Alligator mississippiensis: one gene and its partners. The protein of the gene in region 1 purifies or fractionates together with the protein of each later gene. This does not show direct contact. Links are inferred from orthologs where the notes say so. Each region holds a gene or a part of one and is shown in the gene's direction. Other genes may lie near its edges.

What was found.
Region 2: the proteins of SNAP23 (region 1) and VAMP3 purify together in Homo sapiens (affinity purification with western blotting; 6 studies listed by BioGRID and IntAct, with this or other methods). This does not show direct contact. The link is inferred for Alligator mississippiensis from reciprocal best matches to the Homo sapiens genes SNAP23 and VAMP3.
Region 3: the proteins of SNAP23 (region 1) and STX6 purify together in Homo sapiens (affinity purification with mass spectrometry; 3 studies listed by BioGRID and IntAct, with this or other methods). This does not show direct contact. The link is inferred for Alligator mississippiensis from reciprocal best matches to the Homo sapiens genes SNAP23 and STX6.

What each region holds. Positions count from the first base shown.
Region 1 is NC_081825.1:237,543,970-237,552,042, reverse strand, and holds the start of SNAP23 (synaptosomal-associated protein 23), read left to right. Parts: upstream 1-4,979; 5' UTR 4,980-5,068; intron 5,069-5,273; exon of another isoform or gene 5,274-5,364; intron 5,365-5,611; exon of another isoform or gene 5,612-5,739; intron 5,740-8,073. UniProt on the Homo sapiens protein: Essential component of the high affinity receptor for the general membrane fusion machinery and an important regulator of transport vesicle docking and fusion.
Region 2 is NC_081836.1:20,082,141-20,089,816, forward strand, and holds the start of VAMP3 (vesicle-associated membrane protein 3), read left to right. Parts: upstream 1-4,624; 5' UTR 4,625-4,730; coding exon 4,731-4,732; intron 4,733-6,858; coding exon 6,859-6,940; intron 6,941-7,676. UniProt on the Homo sapiens protein: SNARE involved in vesicular transport from the late endosomes to the trans-Golgi network.
Region 3 is NC_081828.1:52,539,794-52,547,079, reverse strand, and holds the start of STX6 (syntaxin-6), read left to right. Parts: upstream 1-4,234; 5' UTR 4,235-4,308; coding exon 4,309-4,343; intron 4,344-6,129; coding exon 6,130-6,299; intron 6,300-7,240; coding exon 7,241-7,286. Other genes in the region: uncharacterized protein LOC132250811, read right to left, coding at 3,812-3,957. UniProt on the Homo sapiens protein: SNARE promoting movement of transport vesicles to target membranes. Targets endosomes to the trans-Golgi network, and may therefore function in retrograde trafficking.

The sequences.
Region 1 (8,073 bases):
CAAAAACTTCCAAGGACGGAGATTCCACAACCTCTCTGGGTATCTTGTTCCAGTGCTTTACTACCCTCCCCATGAAAAAGTTCTTTCTAATATTTAACCTAAACTTTCCTTACTACAACTTGAGACTGTTGCTCCTTGCCTGTTATTTGCCACCAATAAGAACAGTCTAGCTCAGGGGCGGGCAATTATTTCGGCCAGAGGGCCGCTTAATGAGTTTTGGTGAGCTGTTGAGGGCTTCATGGATAGTACCACACCTTGACAGTTGCCTTGCTCCATGGTCAACATGTTGAGACTGGATGTCCTGTGCTCTAACCTCTGACCTTTGCCACCAGAAGTCCTCCCCTTGCCCTCTTGGAAACACTTTTTTTTTTTTTTTTTTTTTGTGGGGGAGTGGCAGCTGGCTGGCTGACGATCATCTTGGAACCAGAAAAAAAAAACAAAAAAAAAAACATACGCTAAAACTCAAACACCTACTATAACATACTTTAAATTTATCACAAAAAAATGTCATGATTTGTGTGGCCAGCTAATTGAGGAAAGTGATTTTTCCCCTCTGTTTGGCAGTGATGAGGCCACATCTGGATGATCTGTGTTTGCCTCATTAATGTAGCCCAGTATTCTGTTAGCCTTTTTGGCAACAAGGGCACACTGTTGACTCATATCCAGCGTACTGTCCACTGTAACCACCAGGTCCTTTTTTGCAAAGCTGCTATTTAGCCATTTGGTCCCAAGCCTGTAGCAGTGTGTGGGATTCTTCCATTCTAAGTGCAGGACTTTGGCACTTGTCCTTGTTGAACCTCACGAGATTTCTTTTGCCCAATCTTTATGGCAATTTTGCCTAGACCAAGGGTGACAAATTCACTTCAGGCTGCAGGCTGGACCCAGATTGCAGGGGCTCCTCAGGCTGTATCTGCATGACCAGCAACAATTACAAAGGATCCATATTTGGAAGATGGCAAAGGGCCAGGACCTGCCACTGATGCCATGTCCATCAGGGTTCAGGGACTATGAATTCTGTAACAGGGCACACCTCCCAACTTGTGGTAGCATGACAGGTTACCAGATAGAATGGTCTGGCATGCCAAATCCAGGCTGCAAGTCATGTTTGACAAGTCATGTTGATCTAGACCACACTTCCCTAGTTTGCTTATGGGAATGCAATGTGGGACAATGTCAAAGGCTTTAGTAATATGGAGATGTACTGCATCTACAGGTTCCATCTCAGCCCTGTCAAAGAAAAAAAAAAACCACATCATTTTTTCTATTACCTTTGGTCAATAAGCCACACATGATGCAGTACATGCTATAGCTTATATGCATCTACACCAGCAAGCTCAAACATTTAAACTGAAGAACAAGAAATCATCCACAAGCTGGACTGTGTTATGCATAGCTTAATATAGACTCTAAATTCTTATCCCATGATCTAGACTATCTTTATATAACCCCTACGTCCCTCAGTGGGTTAAAAGCTTTGTTTAACCGTTTCAACCCTCTTCAATCCACTTTTCCCTCACTCAGCAGTGTTCTCTTCTCTGCTCCCCTTTCCTTATCTCTTGTATTTAAATGACTTTCTTCCTTTCTATTTGGTACCCCTTGTCACAACCCAAGGGTGTGATTTTGTTTGTGTGCGCTTCGGCACTGCTAAATTATTTCCCACCACGAGGAGCTTTCTTTGCAGGGTGCATTTCTTAGTTGCAAAGAGAAATGCACGGTGCAAAGGAGTTCCTGCCACCCGCATGCAAATTTGTGTCCCACTATTGGCCAGTTCTAAATTATTCCCACGTGACGGCTAGTGATTGGCTTGCTAGCCGTATAAGCGGCTTGAGCGGTTTCCGCCCAAGTTGGAGGACTCCACAACTATCAGGAGAAGGAGAACTTCATGTCTCGTGAAGATCTCTAAACGCTGCGGAGCCTATCGGACCCAGCGTATACCTTGAGAAGGCTATAGGGGTCTGATCAACCTCTGGCCTCTCCCCGTCGCCGAACGATCCCTCAACGAACCCCTTCCCTGCGCGCAAGTTCCACGGAGCCTAGCAAACTTCGTGTGAGTGTATCCAGAGCTCTTTCTCCGAGTTGTTTTCTTCGGTTGACACGATGGGCTTGCGTGTTTAGAGCCTTCAACCGGATTGGGCTAGAGGTTCGCGTGGAAGGAACTCTCGTCCGCTTTTCTTCTTTTCTGTCTGTAACTGCAACTCAAGCAAGTTTTCCTGCCTGCACCACGACCATCTTTGGTGTAAGTAAAATAATCTTTAATCAACCGCTAAGCGTCCGTGCCTAATTCTAGTCTGCCGGCCTGCACTCCCCAACCCGCGTGCCAGGGCTGCTGGCCACAGCCCGCGCCGCGCACCCCCGAGAATCTCGGACCGCTCCCGGCCCGCACACCCCTGCTCACTGGGTGGACATTTGTTTGCCTGAGGACAAGAAGCAGCAGCACACCTTGTGCTGCCTGAGATAAACCTATGCTATGTGCCCTCTGGCTTGCGGCAGGTTATGTCAGGTAGGGTAGGGGAGGATTCCAGCAGCCTTACTTGCGGCCCTTGAGGAGTCACAGCTGTGGTGCTCCTGCAGCTGGGAACCTGGCTGGCAGCCAGAGAATGGTTCCAGAAGGCCAAGATCTGGTTTTGGGGGGCACATGCTGCCACCACATGCGCCACTCCACTTTAAGGAGCAGGTTTTTTTGATTCCGCTGCAAGGTAGACAGCATGCAAGTCCATTCATAGTATCTGACAAGGATGTTGTAGCCAACAAAAACTCTATGAACAAGTAAATCTATAAGGTACCACCTTGTCCTGCATTCAAATAAAAGTTAAGTACATTCAGAAGCACCCTAATGAATTGGGGCCTAAAGGGACTATTTTCTCCTCACCTTGTGAGGACAACAGCTAGCCAACTTCTCATACCTGTTATCTCTGCAGTGGTTTCCTGCTTTAATAAAGGTCCCAGCTTCTTATGTTTTCAAAAACAAGCCTCTGATTTTCTCTTAGCTAGACTGAAGAATATTTTAATTACTAGTATAGATGGGGCACAGTAACTTTTCAATACCAAGAAAAGAACAGAAAGGTAAATGATGATATTAGCCTAATGATGCACATGATAGCTATCTGGTGTCTCTTCCATTTTATCTGAAAACAGACTCTTATCTATGGTAGTAGGCTTTTCAGCACCAGTTTGAAAGGATAAAAGAAAAAAAAAATCTCATCACCTGTAGCTACAAATAGTTATGTAATTCAGCATGATCTTGTATATGAGCAAAAATACACATGCCACCTGTAATGTTTTAAATAAAACATACTTTTTTGTAGTCTATGTTTTCTTCTATTGCTTTCAATAACTAGTCCTAAGCAAGGCAACAGGCAAGCAAGAAAAAAAAGTCTGTATCACCCCCTAGTGGCAAATCCATTGCAGAAACATGCAACCACTTAATGATTAAAGGAATCTTAATTAATTCAAATATGCCCCAATCCCCAAGTCCCAATCCTGTAGAGACAAACTTTTAATAAAAAAAATAAGGCCAGCAAGAACTGACTCAGTTTAAGTCTATTTACCTACTCTGTAGGAATGTTGGAAGAATTTATATTTGTAAACAGCTTAAACACAAGAAATGCTAAATATTATTCTATTATTCTAAATATTGCATAAATCAAGGTACAGGTTGATGGCACCTCCTACGCACATATTGCTTCACAAGCAAAATGGGAACTATGAAGTTAAACAGTATTCTGGAAGCTTCAGGACAGACCATTGATTTAACAATACCGTACATATGGAGGGGGAAGAGATGATGCTAAAGCTGTTGTCTTTCACACTTCTTACCAGTACCAAAGGCTAATCAGCAAATAGGCTATGGAGAATAAGTTACCATCTCATCTGTTGCAGCCAATTTCTCCCTACATAAAGTAATGAATGGAGAAATAACAGACTTGACTAGTAAGGGAGGTCCAAGAATAACCCCAGAAACACTTTCCCAACATAACATACTATTCCTCCATGCTCATTTCCTTTGATACGCTCCTCAGAACACATCCGCACCTTGCAATCTGCAAACTTACTTTACACCTTCTCCAGAAAGCATGAGGAAGTGCTTGCTGCATGTAACATTGCTATTTAACTAACCTTTGCATCAACAGAGCAGGTCTCATTCTTGTTTTCTGTGGCATGTGCTTTTTTAGGTTAAGATGTTGGTGTGACAAAGTACAGCTGTAGCTGTGATGGCTTAGACCAGTGATGGTCAACTTTCTGGCAGGCATACCACAAATAAGTCCTGCATCTTTCCCAAGTGCTGCTCCAATCCCCTCCTATGCCCAACCCACTGCTCTGCCTTCTGCTCTCCCCATCCTGTGTTCCCTGCCTGGCTCGCGGCTCCACCCCCGCACACCGGGTGCGGTGTGGCCCGTGGTCCCCCAGCGACCCGCGTGCCACACACGCGCTGCCCGTGCCCCTGTGCCACAGGGACCACCCCTGCCTTACAGAAAAAGCGAGGCGAGGCATGTGTGGGGATCTCCTCCCTAGCCGCCCGCACAGCAGGCAGGGAGGGCCGCCGGGTACGAAGCTTCCTCAGGGGGCGCTGGGGCAGGCGCCCCGCGAAGCCAAAACCCCCGCTTTCCCCAGGACGGAGCCCAGCCGGACCCCGCGCCCACAGCCCTGGCCCCATTCCCGCCAGACTCACAGGCCGCGTCCTCCTCGTCCCACAGCAGAGCGGCGGCCCAGGCCGCCATCACCCGGCGCGGTCCCCAACCGGCGTCTCCCCGCCGCGCGGTGGCGGCGCCGACCCAAAAGGGAACCGCGGCGCGGCGCGAGGAAAGGCCCCCATTCGCTCAGCCAATCGGCCGCGGCGGCGGCGCTCTGCCTGCCGGGATACCCCAGCGCCCGCTAGGAATTGTAGTCCCGGCGACAGGCTGCGTACTCGATCGGGGACGGCCGGGAGGCAGAGGTGACCCGCCCACAGGGCGTTACCGCCAGCAAGCGGGTCTCCGGGACAACGCGCCCAGGGCAGCTCCGGGCGGGACTTCTTGAGCTGTGCCACGTGCAACGATCCTGCGCGAAAGGGGAGGGAGGGAAACAAGAGGTATTGCAGGAGCAACCGGGGGCGCATCCTCATAGCACGAATGGCCGAGCTCTTCTCGGGGTGGGAACTCACGCCGTTCAGCTCCGATCAGGTTCTCCTTGTGCTGGGCCTGGGAAGCGCCACAAGATCATCCCCGCCTGCGGGCAGCCGGCTGCATGGGGACACTGGCGCCTTACTCTGGGGAGCATTGGGAGGGGCTCGAGGACCGCAGGAGCCGCGCACAGCTGAAGGGCGCTCCCGAAAGCGACTGACTGGTGGTCTCCCGGGTCACGCGCTCCTCACAGCCTGCCAGGGAGGTAGGGGCTGAAGAAAGTTGGGCCAGGGATCCCTGGGACACACAGAAAAGCCTTCCAGAAAAACGTCCTGATGCAGCGTAGAGCCGCTCGTTACAGACCAGGCAAAACAGCAAATCGAGTAGCTAGAGCGCAAGTACAGAGGGCTGGGCGCTATATCGGGTGTGGCTTTGGGGCGGTTCCGCCTGCCGCGATAGGCCCCGCCCAGGATGGTGCCCCTCCCTGCCCACCATGTTGAGTGCGGCTCCTCCGAGTGGGCGGGGTTTCCGCTTCCGGCAGCGGCGGTCTGCGACTCGGTGCGGCGAGCGATGGGCTGTTAAAGCGGTGGCAGTGGCGGTACTTTCACTTACGGCCCAGCCTCGAGGGCGGCAGCGGTAGGTGAGAGGTGCCTGTTGTCGGTGGAGCCGGGACCGGGACCGGGGTTTGCCTTCCCGCCTGCTCCGCCGGGGGGAGGAGGCGCGGAGGTGGCGGGTCACGCTGCCTCGGGCGAGCAACAGCCTCTGGGCTTGGGCGGGGGTCGGTTGCGGTTCCGCCGGCCCCTGCTGCGGTGCTTTTGCGCGGGCTGTGAACGGGTCGAGCCGTCCCGGGGCCCGTGCGGGCTGCTGGCCCCTGCGGCGCGCCCCCCGTCCCGTGTACTGGAGAAGCCGAGCGGCCTCCTGTGCCTCCGCCGTGGTGGGAGCGCTGCTGCGCCCACACCTGCTCCTCCGCCGCCACAGGAGAGGGGCTGCCGGGTCCCCTCGGGTCTGTAACCTCTCTGGTGTTGCCTTCGGGAGCAGGCTCCAGGGGACGTGATACCAGGGATCCCAAGCCTGCTCGGGCCAGTGTTTCTCTCTGCGCTCTTGAGCAGCAGTTCCCAACTTCTTTTTTTTTAAATGCCAATGGCTGGTGCCCCTCACTCCCACCCCCCTGCCTCCATCTCCATGTGTGGGCACAGCCAACCCTAGGGGGATGCGGGCCCCGGGGCAAATCAGCCTGTGCGGGGCTGTTGGACCCCTGCAAAGGTAGGGCACAGCAGTGCCATAGCAATTAAACTTGGCGCTGGGGCCAAGCAAATCCAGAGCGCCTGGGACAAGCCGCTTTTCAGCAGAGGAGGAGTCTGCAGGGAGGGTTGGGGGTTGGTGGGTAGTGGCCAGATGCTTCTTCTGCGGCAGGGGGCTGAGCCACCAGCTCCAGGCAGGCCCTACGGGAGACGTGTGGTTGCTCTGCCCAGCTCTACAGAGCCCCCCAAAGCATGGGGGTCAGGGCGGTTGCCCTGATTCGCCCTACCCAAGGGATGGCTCTGTATGTGGGGCACAATGGGAGGTGTAAAGGGCTGCCTGGGAGCCCTCCATGCCCCACAAGCTGGAGCTCTGCCAGCCTGCAAGGGAAAAGCCACCGTTTCCCATGTGTCTTTCCTTTAAAGGACAATCCAATTTTAGAACTTGTTGGTGACCCTTTCATATATTCTTGTGACTGACTTTTGGGTCATGACTCATAGGTTGATAAACGCTGCTTTTGAGGACCAAGCAGCTCCTTAGGAAGGCTTATCAGGACCAAGGGAGAGGGCCTGCCCTAGGGCTGCCTGCTGCTGAGGCAGCTCTTTGGCCTGAGGTGTTCTTCAACAGGGGCTGGCAAGTGGCGCAAAGACATTCTTAATGGAGCTCTTGTTTCTAAACTTGAGCACCATGAGCGATGGTCTTCACTAGTGCGTTTTGAGGCAGCAACAGCAGCTAGCAACGTGTGTAAAATCCTTGTGTAATGATTGGATACCAGCCAACTGGGAGAGGACTCTTGACGCAAGTTATTGGCTTTCCCAGCAGCAAACCTTGACTGGACACATGTGAAGCTGAGCACATTAACGTGTTACCCGGAAGAGATGGCATTACCAGTGCCTATTCTTCAAGCTCTCTACTCTGTGCAGTGTGTTCAGGAAATGAATAAGTGAAGCCTGGGAGGGTGCAGAGTAGTGTGTGTGGTTTTTTTGTGTTGTCTCAGCTGTCCTGTCTGTTTAGATAAGGGACAGTAGCTGGCATGGGGGAAGGGATTTTAACACCTCGTATTACCCATATGGATATGAGCAGAGGACTGAGGTTTTTTTTTCTAACAAAAGCAGAATTCTTCTAACTTCAGTTCATGCAGGAGTTGAGCCTCCTGCTCATGTGTACTGGTCATGAAGGACCAAGGCCTAGGCCCTCTGTTGTCAGTTGAAAATAGGTGATTGAACTTGTAGTAATACTTGGCATTTTTAACTTCAGATCTGTCCAGACATCAATTTGCTGATTCATTGTGCATTTCTTTGAGGAAGGGTTCTTTACTTTGCCGGAAGGGAAACTGAGACATGGGTAGTTATGGCACACCTGAGGCCATAAAAACTTGCTGAGTTTTACCCTTTGGGAGGCCCTGGCTTCCACTCTGTGACTGGAGCAATTAGATCATGTTGGTTTTCTATTTGCTGTCCTTATTTTCTAATGGGAACCCTTCTCTATAAACACAGGCTGCATCTGTCAGTCATACCTGTAGGCACACCCATCAGGAGGTATTGTTTAGACTAGTGGTTCTCAACCTTTTTTGTACCAGAAACCATTTGTAAACATTGATGGCCAAGCGCCAGGCCCCTGTGTGTGGGGCAGGGCAGGTTGTGTGGGAGGCATGGGCATCAGGTTGGAACTCTGCAAGGGAAAAGCCAAGGTTTCCCACGTTTTTCTCCTTTTTGAAGGAGAATCCATTTTTTAA
Region 2 (7,676 bases), on another chromosome or scaffold:
TTTATTTTATTTTAATTTTCTTTCTTTCTGTATTTCTTTTGCCAATGGTGCCAAGTAATGTGAATGCTAATATTGCTTAAAAAAATTAAGTTACTTTCGCAAAGCAGATAATCATAAGAATACAAAATCGTATCTAGCTTAACACCATACACTCACTCCAATAAAGAACACTTAGAATGAACATAAACTGAAAAAAAAGAAATAGTATGAAAGTAGAAAATATGTTTCACATTTTCATATCTCCTGCTGGAAGTCAGAAAATGTAATAAAAATTGCACAAAAATAAAAAAAAATAAAAATAAGTAAAAACTTAAAAGATGCAAACTGATCTTGTAGGGGTGTCATGGTATATTGCTATTTCCACATAGTGAGGAGCCAAAGAAATCAGATATTTTAAAAAGTGAAATACTAATGTAAAACTGTCGTAAAGTTTAAACAGGATGGGCAAGATTCTGATCTTAATTGCACTGGGACGTATCAGGAGTAATACCCCTGAAATTGGCACAGTTACTCTGGGTTTACACAGGTGTAGCTAACATCAGAAACTGCTCCTGTGTGTTTATTTTGCTAGTGCCAGTTTAAAATTTCCAAATGATTGGTGTAAATTTTAGATGGTTAGTTTTAGAATAGTTGTTCTTACTTGATCCAGGCCACCAACTGAAATATGTAATTGCAAGGCTTGTTGTGAAGCCTAAAAATATCACAGATTATAAACTTTTAAACTGGTGTCTTTAAAAGAAAAGTAAAGACAAAGGTTGTGGCAAAAAAACTGGGGTCAGTGCTCTTGGTGCCTTTTCTATAATTGTACCTGTTTTTAATTACTTCTTTTCACTGCCAGCATTGAATTACAGTGTATGTGCTATAGCTCATGATCAGAACACTCTGTACATTTGTGAACTGCTGCTTTATGATCTGATTCAATAAGAGAAATTGTCTGGCTGCCACATTGTGGCTGTGGCAGCCTTTTAACTTCAATTTATTTTATTGAATTGGAATACACATTATGTATTCCACACACAAAAAATGGGAACAGGAAATGGAAAAAAGAAACTCCTTCTGGAATGCTCTGTATTAGTACTGGAAGAACTCTGACACTTTGAATGTGTTTGTCCCATTTGCCAGTATTATGGCACATATAATTGATCTTTTCCTAACAAGAAAGAGTAATGACCTCAGTGGCAGTATTTAACCCCTTGCGTTTGTACTGAGAAACCGTGTCTACACGAGATGATTTAATGTGCAACAGGCTAATCTACCGTGCAGTAAAGCGTCACCGCTTACTGTGAAGTAAATTAGTTTACCGCGCTGTAAATTTACTGCACAGAATAGCCAAATAGCATTAACTGCACATGTAGACATGCCGACAGAGTCAGTAATATACAGAGCTATTTCAAATCCATGGGCCTTGTGATGTATCTACTGACAGAGGCCCTGCTTCAGCCAAACACATAAGTACGTGCTTAATATCAAGCATGTAAGCAATTCTGTTAGCTTCCATAGGAGTATTCACATGCTTAAAGTTAAGTATATCCTTAAGTGCTTTGCCGTGTCAGGTCATAAGTCTTCAGTGTATCAGTGACCACTGGTGAGTTAAATACACTGTCCCACTGAAGTGAAGTGATTCTATTCACCCTTTTCTTGATTGTGGAACTCATATTTTAATAGATGATAGTGCAGCTTTCTGGGAAAATCAGGATTCCCAAGTGCCAGGAGCAGGATCTTCTGTCTCCTGCAAGTGGAATTGCTCCTTCATGTAACACATCTGAAAACAGTAATACTGTGTGAAAGAAATACAGAATATAACATGAACCCCCTCTATGGTTGCACGCTTACAGCAGTTCCACACAGTAGTTGGCGCCCGATGGGGAGTCCCCAAAACTTGCATGTAAAACTAGTATAGATGTCTCTCTTTTGTAAGTTTTATTTTTGTAACTGTGCATGTAAAGCATCACTGAATCAATGGATCTGTTGAAGAACTCAGCTGCTGGAACCATGCAAAATGTTTTGAATTGCCCTTAAAATATGGAAAATGTTTTCTGAATGCTTTATATTCTTTCTGCTGTAAATTAAAAACAAAGAAAATTTCCCCATACTAAGTGTGTGTTTTTTAACCTTCCATTTTAACCAAGGAGCTGCATCTTCCTTGAGTAACTATAGTTAGCCTTTTAAAAAGCAAGTCTGTCACATGACCTATTTGCAAACATCACTCAGGTTCTTGACTGGCTGGATTTCAAACGCAGCTGTCTTTTTTGATTTTTTTTTTAAACTATCATAGACCCAAATCCTGCTGTGTAGTGGATATGCAGGTTTGACTGCACTGAGTGGGTCCAAGCACTCACATCTGAGAGAATGTGATCCTTAAAATCTCTTGATCTGTCTTTCTTCTGGATTGTAATGTGTACCCTCCATCCGGTATGTAGACCAGCACATTTCAGGACACTTCTTAAGTATTAAACTTACTGGACTTTCAACTGGCTTCTGATGCCCCCAAGAGTTCCAGGTAATTACTCAGAAGTGCACTGCCTGCCACATCTTTCTAAGATCTCAGGTCAGCCCAAAGATGCTCAGCCTGGTGTTGGGCACTGCCATAAAAGATTCAGGGAGAATGCATGGTCCTCACACCTCACTTCCTAGTTAGGCAGTAGTGGGACAGGCTGGATAAGGCTCCTTCCTCCATTTTTTGGTTCCCTTTGCTATGGGGTAAAAGTTTGTCTTTTGACTGTTAAATCAGCTTTTACAGCAGAAAGGAAATGGGTTTTGCCGTCCTGGACGCTGGTCTCCCTTTCTGTATGTGTCTCATGGCAACATTTAGCAACATGGCTACAACCCCTAGAAACCTCACTGTATTTAAAATATGTGGGGGCAAATTCATCCCTGCTGTAACTCCCCTGAAGCCAACAGTCAGGGGAGATAAATTCTGAGCCAGGCTCAGAGACTAGTGTCTGTCAGATACTAGAGATCATGATGCTGTATGAGATGGCAGAATAATTTCTAAGGAAAACAACTGAAAACTGATCAAATGTTGATGGGTTTGATCCATGCCTTCAGGGATGAATTTGGCCCAGTTTCCAGGCATGACAGTCACTGTCTCTCCAGACTGAGATGTGCTACTCACAGTGTGCACTTTCCAATGCAAACCAGGGTACAAGTGCTCATGTTTCTATTGCACAATATTAATGACACTTCCCTGCAGGAAGGAGCAACTGAACCCTACATCCAGGAAGATTATAGATGTATGAATGATGTTAACAGAATAAAATGGAACAGGAGGAGCTTAAGAAAGTATCAAGAAATATTTGACCAGCACTTAGATGGCTCCAGTCCTGATTAAGGCCTTTAGAATCTATTGTAATGGAAATATATAATAATAAAATATATATTTCATTTAGCAATTTTTAACTTTCTGCAAACAAAAGTCAGTACCTCTCCTATTGGAAATATTGGGAAATTACATTACATCAGACCTCAGTAATGGAAATAACCCTTTTTGCTTTTATAGCATAAATAATCCAGAAGGTGTGCTGGTCCTGAGTCAAATGATTCAAACATGCATATCTGGTCAAACCAGATTACACCTCGGCAGTCCCTGTGTCCTCACAGACTATGCAGAGATCCCAGACAACTAAGCCTGCCAAGGTAGATTGTTGTACCGGGCCAAGACACTGCGATTTCAGGTTTCCCTACACTTAAATGTAGACAGCTGCAAGACCACATTGGATGACCCCTTGGTGCTTCTACATGTGCACTTCACCGCAGAGCTAACTAATTAGTTCTGCAGTAAAGCATCACCATCTACCTGTGCTCCTCTTATTAGAGTGCAGTAAACTAATTAACTCTGCTGTAGGGTAGTACTGTCTGAGACAAATACTATCCTACAGTGGAGTAGTTGCATATGCCAGAACACACATGTAGATGGTGGCCTGGGCTGGCTGAGGCACGAGGGTGCTACAGTGCAGAGGCTGCCTGCCAGCTAGCCCCACACAGTAACACAAAAGTGCTGGAGTTCACACCCCCCCACCCAAGCTGGCACCGTCATCACTATCCTGCCTTCTACTTGACTTCAGACTAACACGGCAGTGTCTCGCCAGCCATTACTGACAGGACAAGCCCTCAGCTAGGTAGGGGGAGGGGGTGCAGGCTCCCTACAGACCCGAGGCACTTTTGAACCTTTCACCTCACTAACATCCAGGTGGGGCTGCGCCCGGCAACCGACCCTCGCGCCCTCGGCGGACAGGCGGGGTGTGCCGGATGGGGGTGCGAGTCTCCTCCTGAGCCAGGCCCAGCCGCTACGGGCGCGCTGGAGCCCAGGCCCTTCAGCCGGGACGAGCACGTCGGCTGCCGGGTTCTGGCCCCCGCTCCGTGCCGCGCCGGCCGGCTGGGCCGCCCGCTCTGCAGCAAGGGTGACGGCGGGGCGGCTGCCCACACGGACATGGCCCGCGCGCCGCGGCACGGCAGGCTCGGGTCGCCCCAGGTAGCGCGGGCGGCGCCGGACTGACTGCGAGCTCAGCCTTGCTGCTCCCCCTCCGGCCCGGCCCCCCCCGGCCCGCGACCCCGCCCCGGGCGACGGCGGCCCAGGCCAGGCCCCTCCCACAGGCCGTGGCGTGGGCTGAAGAGGCTCCTCCCCAGACGTCATATCCTGCCGTTGCCCAGCCTGCGCACTGCTTCCGGCTTGGTGCTGCTCCCTGGGCCGCCCGTGAGGTTAGCAGGAGGCCGCTCGCCCGCCCGCCAGCATGTGAGTCCGGGGCAGGGGAGGAGCCGTGGGGACCCGGCTTGGTCGTTGCGTGTCCTGGGCCGGGAGCTGGCGCTGTCCTTGGGTTTCTTCTGGGCGGGCGGGCGGGCTGGGGGGCGGCACTAGGCCCTGCCTGTCGCGCTCCTTGGGGCCTGGTGGGGGCTGATAGCGACGTCCCCGCGACCGAACTCTGGGTTGGGCGGGGCGGGGCGGGGCGGGGCGGGGCGCGGAGCCGCTCGTCCCTTCCCGTGACGCCCGCCCGCCCGCAAGAGGCTCCTCGAGACTGGCTGGTCCTGAGGGGCCGGGCCCGGAGCTGGGGGCGGCGAGCGTGGGCCTCGGCCGCGGTGGCTCCTTGCGTGTAAGAGCGTTGCCAGGGGCTCTCGCACCCGCCCGAAGTGCCCCGAGCTCAGCGGGAGCCACGGCAGCCTTCTTTCTGTTTAAGAGGCGTCCAGTTTGCGTGAAAGATTTAAGGTGCTGGGGCTAATCTTCCATACTCAAAAAGGTGGCACCAGTCCTGTCAGTGCTGGGATCCAGCTCTCCGGGAGGATTCCCCTAGAGATCTGACAAGGGGCCTGAGCCTTCCCCTTTCCTTCCACGCACAGCCCAGTGGGAATTCACTTCTAAGTCGGGGGTAGTTCAGTCGCTTCTAACTGCAGATATTGCTTTCAAGACTCCTAGAAAAAGTTAATTGCTTGAGTACTGCCACCTGTTGATATTGGCTAAGGGGAATGTAATGGTGTGCTTGGATCCGGAACAGAGGAAACCAGAATACTAAGCACAGTGCACTCTATACACCTGCTCCAGGGGTGGGGGGAGTTTAATTAGAGGGGCTCTAATTAAAGTACCTGAAGGGTCTGGTGTATCAGCATCCCTGTGCTTCAAAATGGCAGTGGGGTGTGTTTGAAAATAAAGTGCCCTTACCACTATTTTGAAGTGCTGGGACATGATATACCAGATGCAAGCTGGCTGTTGGAGTGTGGTAATTAGCACTCCAGATTCCATTAGTGGAGTTTGCTACACTGTAATTGCAGAATGTCAGAGCAGCCTCTGCACTGAAGTATAGGCACCTGGTGTTCATAAAAGAGGTATAAAAGTTGAGCAGATGAGTGAAGAACTTCCCCTAACTTAGGAAGGATATGAGAGAGAGAGAGGAAATGCCTGCTGTGTTTTATAAACTTTCAAGTTTTAAAGTTGTAGAAGGAAATAACACAGTCACTTGCTACCTGAGGCTCTGGGGAAAAAACTGGGTTCAGAGAAGCTTTGTAACTGTTTATGAAGCTTCTTGTCTTCTGAAATATCTAGCACTGAATACTGAATTGGCTTTCTTTTCCTAGTGACCTAGGAAAATTATTAAATAGCAGGAGATGCTGCATGGACATAATTACTTGAAACCATCTCTTTTTCCACAAGTTGATCTGAATTTCTGTTGACAGCTATTGAACTTCCAAGTTCAAATAATAAAATGTGCCTGAATTCATGTGCCCTTATTTCAAAAGGGAGAAAAATATTGATGGGTTGCAGTTCTTGGCATTTGATAGCAATGTGAGCTATTGTTTATCTCTTATTTCTTTCTTGGCTGTTGTATTAGTTTGCCTCTGCTTGCCCTCTGCTGCTTCTACAGCCATGCACTAGTGATAAAGACTTAGGAACTCTGCCCGTAGCTAACTTCACTTCTTTGCTGCTTAAAGACTACTAACTTATGAGAGACTGTGGTCTGAGGGAATGTCTGTATTGCCTCTAGGCTGCTATTGAGGCTGCTATTGCCAGGGTTTACTTACTGGCCATCGGTTTCTATTTCTCTCACTCCAGAACTGGAGCTGAAGCAAGGAAGCTCAGGTGTGCCTTACCCTGCTGCTTTCTGGTTCTTTGTTTTTTGGGATGCTTGAAAGTGGCAGGAAGGCTACCCACAATCCCTGCTTTAGAGCAGGTGGATGAGGCTTTATTCTTGTGGGCAGTTGCAAGAATCCCACTGAAGGACTGTGGCAATAACTGCATTTCTGTCTCTTCATCCTACTGAGAATGGGGACTGGTTGCTGAGCCATTTTCTGTGACTTGCATACAAAATCTGTCTGGAAGTCTTGTGTCCCAGTTAGGGATGCAGTATAAAATAACTACAACTATCTCTGCAGGTCGGCAAGTGGCACTGGAAGCTCAAGCGCTGCCTCTGGCAGTAATCGTCGTCTTCAGCAAACACAGCATCAAGTAGATGAGGTACAGTCTTCACCTGCACTTCTCCTGGTCTGCTGACATCAGGAGACCCCAGGGGAGGTGGTGGGTGGAGGGAGATGCAGCTAAAATGTAATGTGGTCAAAATTAAATTTGTCTGCCTGGGTATGTTAACGAAGGGTCAGCATCTCTTCATGTTTGTTCTTGCCCTTAGTCTCATGTACTGTTTCTTCATTTGTTGCAAGCAACTTGTTCCTATATTTCCTATATTAGTAAGTGACCCTTGGTTCACTTGCTCTGTGCACTAACTCTGCGAGACTTGGACATTAAAAAGACATTGGTGAGCTTGGCTTCTGAGAGAGGATGAGTCTCCCCTTTCAGGAGCTGAAAAGACATTGAAACTTGTAGTTATTGTAATTACCTGACTCCAAGATGAATCTGAATTTAAGATTACTACTCTTTTTACCCCCTCCCCCCCCCCCCTTATAATTCAGGGGTTGACAACTTTTGGGCAGAGTGCCAGAAACACCCCCAACTTTGACTTGTACGTTGTTGTAGCAGTGCAGCCCTGGGCCCTTCCCCACCATCCACCCCATGGTATGAGTGTCAAGCAAAATACCTTCACGTGCCACACTCTGGCACCCGTGCTGGGGGTTGCCTACCGCTGACCTAGATTCTATATGGACACTTTTTATAAATTGGTTTAATCGTCTATGTATAGACTCTAGTTATTGGAGGGTCATCTTAAATTTGTGTTTAACCCCCTACCACTCCTACCTCT
Region 3 (7,286 bases), on another chromosome or scaffold:
ACAGTTCGAGTGGCCAAGGTCTGGAATGGGCTCCCAAGGGAGGTGGTGCTCTCCCCTACCCTGGGGGTCTTCAAGAGGAGGTTAGATGAGTATCTAGCTGGGGTCATCTAGACCCAGCACTCTTTCCTGCTTATGCAGGGGGTCAGACTCGATGATCTAATGAGGTCCCTTCCGACCCTAACATCTATGAATCTATGAAATTTTCAGGATTTCAAAATATTCTGGGTTTTTCTGTTCTGCATAGAAGTGAAACCAAGGCCCTCTACCATTTCTTGAGGAGAAAAAGATAAAGACCTTCACACACCACAGAAGAGTCAGTCTCTCACATTCCAGGCAAGTATTCTAATGACTGGACTATGGGGACTGTTTCTGGCTCCCACAGGAGAGATTTAGATTTTAGAGAAAGTGGTTGGGGGTACTAACCTAGGGTGAAGGGGAGTAGAAGAGCAGGGACCTGAAGATGGGGCTCCTACATTCCAGAAGAGGATCCTGCTCAGAAGGCGATGGCTCTTCTGGGATGACAGGTACATGCATGTGTGTACAGGCACAGTAAGAACTCTTTCTTGATGAACATTTTGTCAAAACTGGTATGGCTTCAACAAATCAAATATTTTTCACTGAATAGTTCCCAGTGGGCTCTACAGTGGGATGCAGCCTACAAAGACTCTCCTCTACCAGAAATTTTTGGCAGGCCAGGGGAGGAACATACTGGAGCAATCTGCAGCACTGCAAAGTGAAATCAAAACTTTCATTCAGGAACTGAGACAAGACCACACCCATCCTAGAAAGTCAAAAGAGCTTGGTTTTTTGATAGTGTGATATTTTGATTTTAAATATCATTTATATTAAATTAGCTTTCAGCTTAAAAAAAAAGAACCACCTCCTTGCTGTGAATTTTGAAAATTCTCAGCTATTCAATAGAGATCTTTGCAATTTTCCAACTTGTTTAAACTTTTTCCTAGAATGACTTGAGAAAAGAATTCTCTCTCAACTATAAAGTTATCCGGTAAAAAAAAATTACCAAACAAAACTTGTTACTTGCATATTCCCTGGACTACCATGACTGCCATGACTACAGTACCACTACAACTCTGCTAAAAAAAGGTTAATGTACTTTATTAAGGAACTTCTAATCTCCATAAATTACTATTACAAGCTACTATTTGAATTGACTTGTTCTCTGTTTAATTCACTCTTGATCCAGATAATGTTGAATGAGATCCCACACTTGAGTGAGATGAATTGCACTACTCCACAATACTGACAGCAAAGCACCATAAATCACTTTTGTTAGGACTTTTGCAGTTGCTTGAATAAGTCCAAATATGATAACCTTTAACAAGATGTTCTTAAAATACAGCATTTGTGTAGAAATACATTTACATGTCAGCAAACTGTCTTCGTAATTAACAAGTTCAAACTAAGCTGACTCACCAGCAAAATTTCTGAAGACACCAAACTGCTACTACCAGCCTAGAACTACCAACTGGCTACCACAAAAATGTGCAACAGGTCTCACTGATAAAGCTACTGATCTCTGCACTTCTGAACCAGTGTTTTCCTGGAAGGTAGCAAAATTACTCAGTACACAACTGCATGAACCAATTTATAGTATACAAATGAAATGCAACACATCGAGAAATTTTGCTTCTTCAGATCATGCTGGCACCTGAAAAACAGTTGGCACTTGAACATGGAAGTATTTAGTTACACCTGTTACCAAATAAAAGACATAGGAGCCTCTATTGTTGCTTCCAGAAAAGGAGAAGAGGAATGTGGAGTAACTGTTACTGGTTTTGTGCAGGTATTGCGGGAACATTTCAATTGAAATAAAGGCTTCATTCTCAGATGGAGAAACTGACTCCCAGCTGGGGAGAGCTTTTGTGCCAACAGTTTTCCCAGAAAGAAATGAAGAATGAGAAAGTGCTCAACAATTCAAAGCCACATATATCTCTTTCTCATGAAAAAGGTTAACTTTCTTCCTTCAACCAAAACTGTGGTCAGACCCCAGCAGACAGGTCTCCCTAGCCTTTCAGTACTTTTAAAGTAGAAGAGCAAAGGCCTAAAGTTACTGGAGGAACAGCCGGATGTAAGTAGGCAACAACACTGGTGTAGATGTACAGGTAGGGTGGCCATCATAGAGGACATTCCAGTTTTCTGCTACTCTGTTTTCTGCTACTTAGTCTAGACAACCGGACTGTCCTCTATGATGGCCACCCTACGTACAGATAGGGCAGAAAAGGTGGTGGAAACTACACAGGCAGTTGTCTTCACTGAAACTGGCAGCTGCTTGGGCAGGGAGATTGTAAAGGGAGGTAGAATTCAAACAGAATGGGACTGTGAAACTTTAAGGTGACAGGGGAGCCTGGAAAAGACGGGAATCAGTAGTAGTCTTTGGGACAGACCCCAGTGTTTTCTTTTGCAGGTTGGACGAGGACAGGAAGGGCAGAAGAGCCTGAGACAGGTTCCCCATTCTGCTTCCCTTGTGTCCCTTCCATTTGTCCTCTCAGACACCCTCTGTTTTCACAAAGAAGTGTCCTTCTTCTTGAGAGCGAAGAACTCTGGACAGAGCATGCCTCTCCATCTGCCTACGGATGACTCAAGCCATGGGAACATGCAACAAAGGACTCCGACGTGTGACTACATCATCCCAATTAAAGGGGGCGTTTTATTTAAAATCCAAAGCCTATCGTTAAAGAGGCTCTCTCACTGAATTTGATTCCCTGGTTTCGCAATCCGCAATGGCTTTTCCCTCAACATTCACGATTATCCTGTTCCAGATTGCAAAACTGCTCCACAGATTTCCCACGGCGAGCAAGTCGCCTTGCCAAACAGGCTTCCTACTTTAAAGCACTATCAGCTGGGACATCTGGCACGACAGAGCAAAAGTGCAGTCACATTATTTGGCCGGTTCAGGGGTCCCTGCCCAAGGTCTCAAATTGTGCCCCACATGCTTCACCCATACCCATGCATGCATCTGCTCCCTGCCCCCCTGCTCCCCCCACGAGAGTATCCTCCCTTCCTATCAGTGGCTCTCAACTGTATTTAGATTCAAGGTGCCCATCACTAGACTCAAGGCGGCTCTTGGAAAATGGCAGCTTGTTTTCTGTGTTTTCTGACAGAGGAAATAAAAGAACAGTATGAAGGGTCCCGCGGGCGCTGTGACTTGCTGGCCCTTAAGTGAGAGGAGATTTCCTTCTTCCTCAGGCCCCAGGCGGCCGGGAACAACACGTCACCTCACGGCACTCGAGTCTTAAATTATTGTATTGGAAGCTCAAAATTATCATATTTGCTGAAAAGCTGCCCTACACTGAAAAAATATGCAAATAAGTCTGCCAGTAAGTCTTATTTACCTTGTACTGCTCACTGTAACTTGCCAGTGAGCAAGTGAGAATTGGATCTTAAAGTTGATTCATTTCTTTCAAGGTCAGTAGGCATAGAAAAGCACTGACAGCAAACCCAAAACCTAGCTAAAGCCCTCTGGAAACAATTTGGGGTTTGCAAGTGATGCAGCAATCAGTTGCTTAAAAATTATGGTAGGTTTTGGGCAGACAAGGGTCCTTGGGTGAATTTGATATCTTTTATTAGACCAACTCAAATAGTTGGAGAATATGTATTAAGCAAGATTTTGGGTTCAAAAACCCTTTGTCAGGCTAAGGAAGTTTCAGCAGTTGGTGTGCGCTCTTCCTGGATGGAATGAAAAGTAAATGGTAGGTTTTGGGCACTTTTACTGTCATTGGCCGGACACCGTGCAAGGGTCGAAGTTATTGTACAAATCGGTAATGGTCGTACACCCGGGAACACCGCCTACCCTCCTGCTTCGCGGGACCGGAGGCCCCAAACTGGAACAGCTCCACCAGCCCAGCCAAGCCGCGCAGCCCGCCCGCCCGCGTCAACTTCCAACCACCGAGCGGCCGCGAAGTCTGTGATTGGCCGAGCCAGGCAGGGCGCGGGCATAGCCGTCACGGCGGAGAGGAAGGGGCTGCAGCGCCTGCGCAGTACTTCCGTCAGCAAGCACACGCGCACACCGCGTCCCCCGGCGGGGGCTGGGCTTGTACCTGTCACGTGACAGCAGCAGGCACAAGTGCACACCGCGCTCCCGCGGGGATTGACGGGGTTGTGCCTGTTACTGTCACGTGACGACAGGAACGGGCTCCCCTCCCCCCAGCGCCGGGGCGGGGCGGGGCGGGGCGGGGCGGTGCTCTTACGTCACGTGACTGCGGCCGGGGTGGGGCGGGTGGGGCTGGGCTTAGTCCGGCTGGGCGCGGAAGCCGGGGCTAGGTCCGGGTCGGGCCGCGCCGCGCCGCTATGTCCATGGAGGACCCGTTCTTCGTGGTGAAGGGGTGAGCGCGGCCGGGGCTGGAGGCCCCCGCGGGGGCGGGGCGGGCGCTCCCGGCTCAGGGCTGCCTGTGCGGGGCGGGGCCCGGGGGCGGCGGGCGAGGTTCCAGCGCCCCGCGGGCTACCGGGTGGGGGAGCCCGCAGCAGGGGCTGGGCGGGCCGTGAGCAGGTTACCGGCCCTGGCAGCGGCTGGAGCAGCTCCCACCCGGCCGCGCTCCCCGTGCCGGGCTGGAGCCGGCTCCATGGTGTCCCTGAGGGAGTGGGAGGGGCAGAGCGGGCCCAGGCAGCGAGTTTCCGTCCTCCGATGCTGCCTGGAAGGGGCTGGCCAGGAGCCGGCCTGCCGCGAGCTGGGGCAGGGCTGGACGGCCTGGTGAGGTCCTTCCAGCTCTTAATTTCCTAGGATCCTAAGAACAACCTTACTGTATTTTCTGCTCTCGTGTAGTTTGAGAAGCACCGACAAAGAGGAGGGAGGAAAGATAACATAGCACAGGAAACAAGACCTGCCCTTGACAGAAAACTGAGGGCTTCAGGCTGGGGTACCCCAAAGCGGGACACAGTCCTTCTAACTGGCCCACGTTCATCCCCTTCATGGCCACAAGCTGAGGACACAGCTGATCAACTCTAAGCTTTTATTAGTGAAGTCCAACCCCTATCTGTCAAAGAACAGAAGTCCCCACATCTTTGAACAGATCTGCACGTTATGTGCAACCCTTAAACGTGGGGCAAGCTTTTTACAGCTGATCATAAGACCTGAAAAGCTTGCTAACATGCCTCTTGTGTATAAGTGTTACATCCCAACTTTCCATTCATTTGAAAGGATATTCCCTGGGAATAAGACAGCAGTATTTACTTATGCAGATAATCATATGTTTATGGGTAGATATTTGCTATTTGCCCTCTGATCCCAGAGAATAACTATAATGTTCAGTGCTTTCAGCAGCATGCATTCTCATGCTAACATCTGAAACACTTTTCTATGACACTTGTTGGAGCAGTAAAGCAGTTGAGTTTATTAAGCAAACATAGCTCAATAAGTACTGTAAATTACAAAAAAGAAAAATGAAATAAGCAGATCCAAGCTGGACACAGTTGGTTCATGCAGAAATTCTGTAGGGACAGTTCCTGCAATTCTTATGGTCCATGATTAGGAAGTAGCAACATGTTGTAGTGGAGAATGTGCATAGGAAATTACAGTATGAAACATGCCAGGATTGCCCTCGTCCTTGTTGGTTCTGGAATGAAAGATGCTATAGAAATGCAAAATGTCTGTTTGTTAAAGAGTAGCATGGGTTCCTCCATCCACAGAAGAGTACTGAAAAAGCAGTGCAATTGTCTGGGAAATGTTAAAGTTCTCTTTTTAATAACAGCAATAGGTGAAAGAGGTAGATCCTTTCCATAACTGTCACTGTCTTTCTGTTATGAAATTCTGTCACAGTTTCTATTGGGGTAGAAGACAAGACAAGATACTGATTATCTAGTAACCAGTGTTTGTGGGGAATCCTGCCTTGAGCAAGGGATTGGACTAGATGACCCTTGAGGTCCCTTCTAGCCCAACTTTTCTCTGCTTATGTGATTAGTTTAAAGAGAAAATCAAGCAGGTTGAAGGGAGGATGCTTGAGAGGAGGTCATTAATGCAAATAACTTTAAAGCCAAAACAGTGAAAAACACCACTTGTCTACATGGAGAATCAGTCTGTTACAGCAGTAGTGGAATGATTCTGTTAGAGCTGTACTACAATGTTTTTCTGTGTAGTTGAGTCATTAGTATTTTTGTTAATCATCTTGATTTCAGGGAGGTCCAAAAAGCAGTGAATACTGCTCAGGGGTTGTTTCAGAGATGGACGGAGCTCCTGCAAGACCCTTCTATAGCCACAAGAGAAGAAATTGACTGGACAACTAATGAGCTCAGGAACAACCTGCGGAGCATTGAATGGGACCTGGAAGACTTGGATGAAACTATTAATATCCTTTATATGGACCTGTTACAGTTTAGATACAGCCTTGTGTTATTTCTACCTGAAGGATGAGGCTGGCTTTTAAAGAGTAATTCAGTTTCTTGGAAAATATGCGTTGTATGCTATAAAGTTCTTTCAGAAGCTGCTGTTTTCATAAGATATCATTGTATGGTTTAGACCAGAATTATTCAACCTATAGATTGTGACCCAAAATAATATATGAAGGGGTTTCAAACAAAAATGGATCAACAAACTTTAAAAATGGATTATCCTTTAAAGGAGAACAACTTGGGAAATGGTGACTTTTCCCTTGCAAGCTGGCAGAGTTCCAGCCTGTGAGGGGCTGCATGGGCCCTCCCCTGCCCCACACACTGGGGGCTGGAACGGCAGGGCATTCGGTCAGGATTGAGGGGCACTGGGTTGGGACTGGCCATCAATGTTTACAAATGGATCCTAATGCAAAAAAGGTTCAGAACCACTGGTTTAGACAGTGGAGTCAGTGACATGCCAGCTTTTCCTCAAAGTAACCTTTTTTTTTTATATGTCCTCTCTCCTTCTTGATCAGTAACATATAGTTAAAAGTAAGATGCCCTGTTCTAAAAGGTTCCTTCTGTGGGATGAATTTTAACTGGAGGCAGTCAGTCCTCTGTTACACTGAGCTCCAGAAAAGAGAGTTGAAAAAGGATTAAAATTAACAATTTCTGATAGTGCTATGCTGTGCCAGTCAGGCAAGCCAAAAAATTCCAGCGGGCTCTTTACATTGGTACACAATGGCAGGATGCAAGGACTGTTAAGCATCAGATGCATGATTTTCCTAACTAACCAAATCTTGGTCCAGTTAACTTTATTAATTATAGCACTTAGGTAGTAGTATCCTTTCAGGTAGCCAGGATATTTGCCTGAATGCTGACTACTGGTTCAGTAGTGTTTCCTTGACTTGTCATTAACGCATTGTTGAAGCAAATCCTCGGAAATTCAACCTTGATGCAACAGA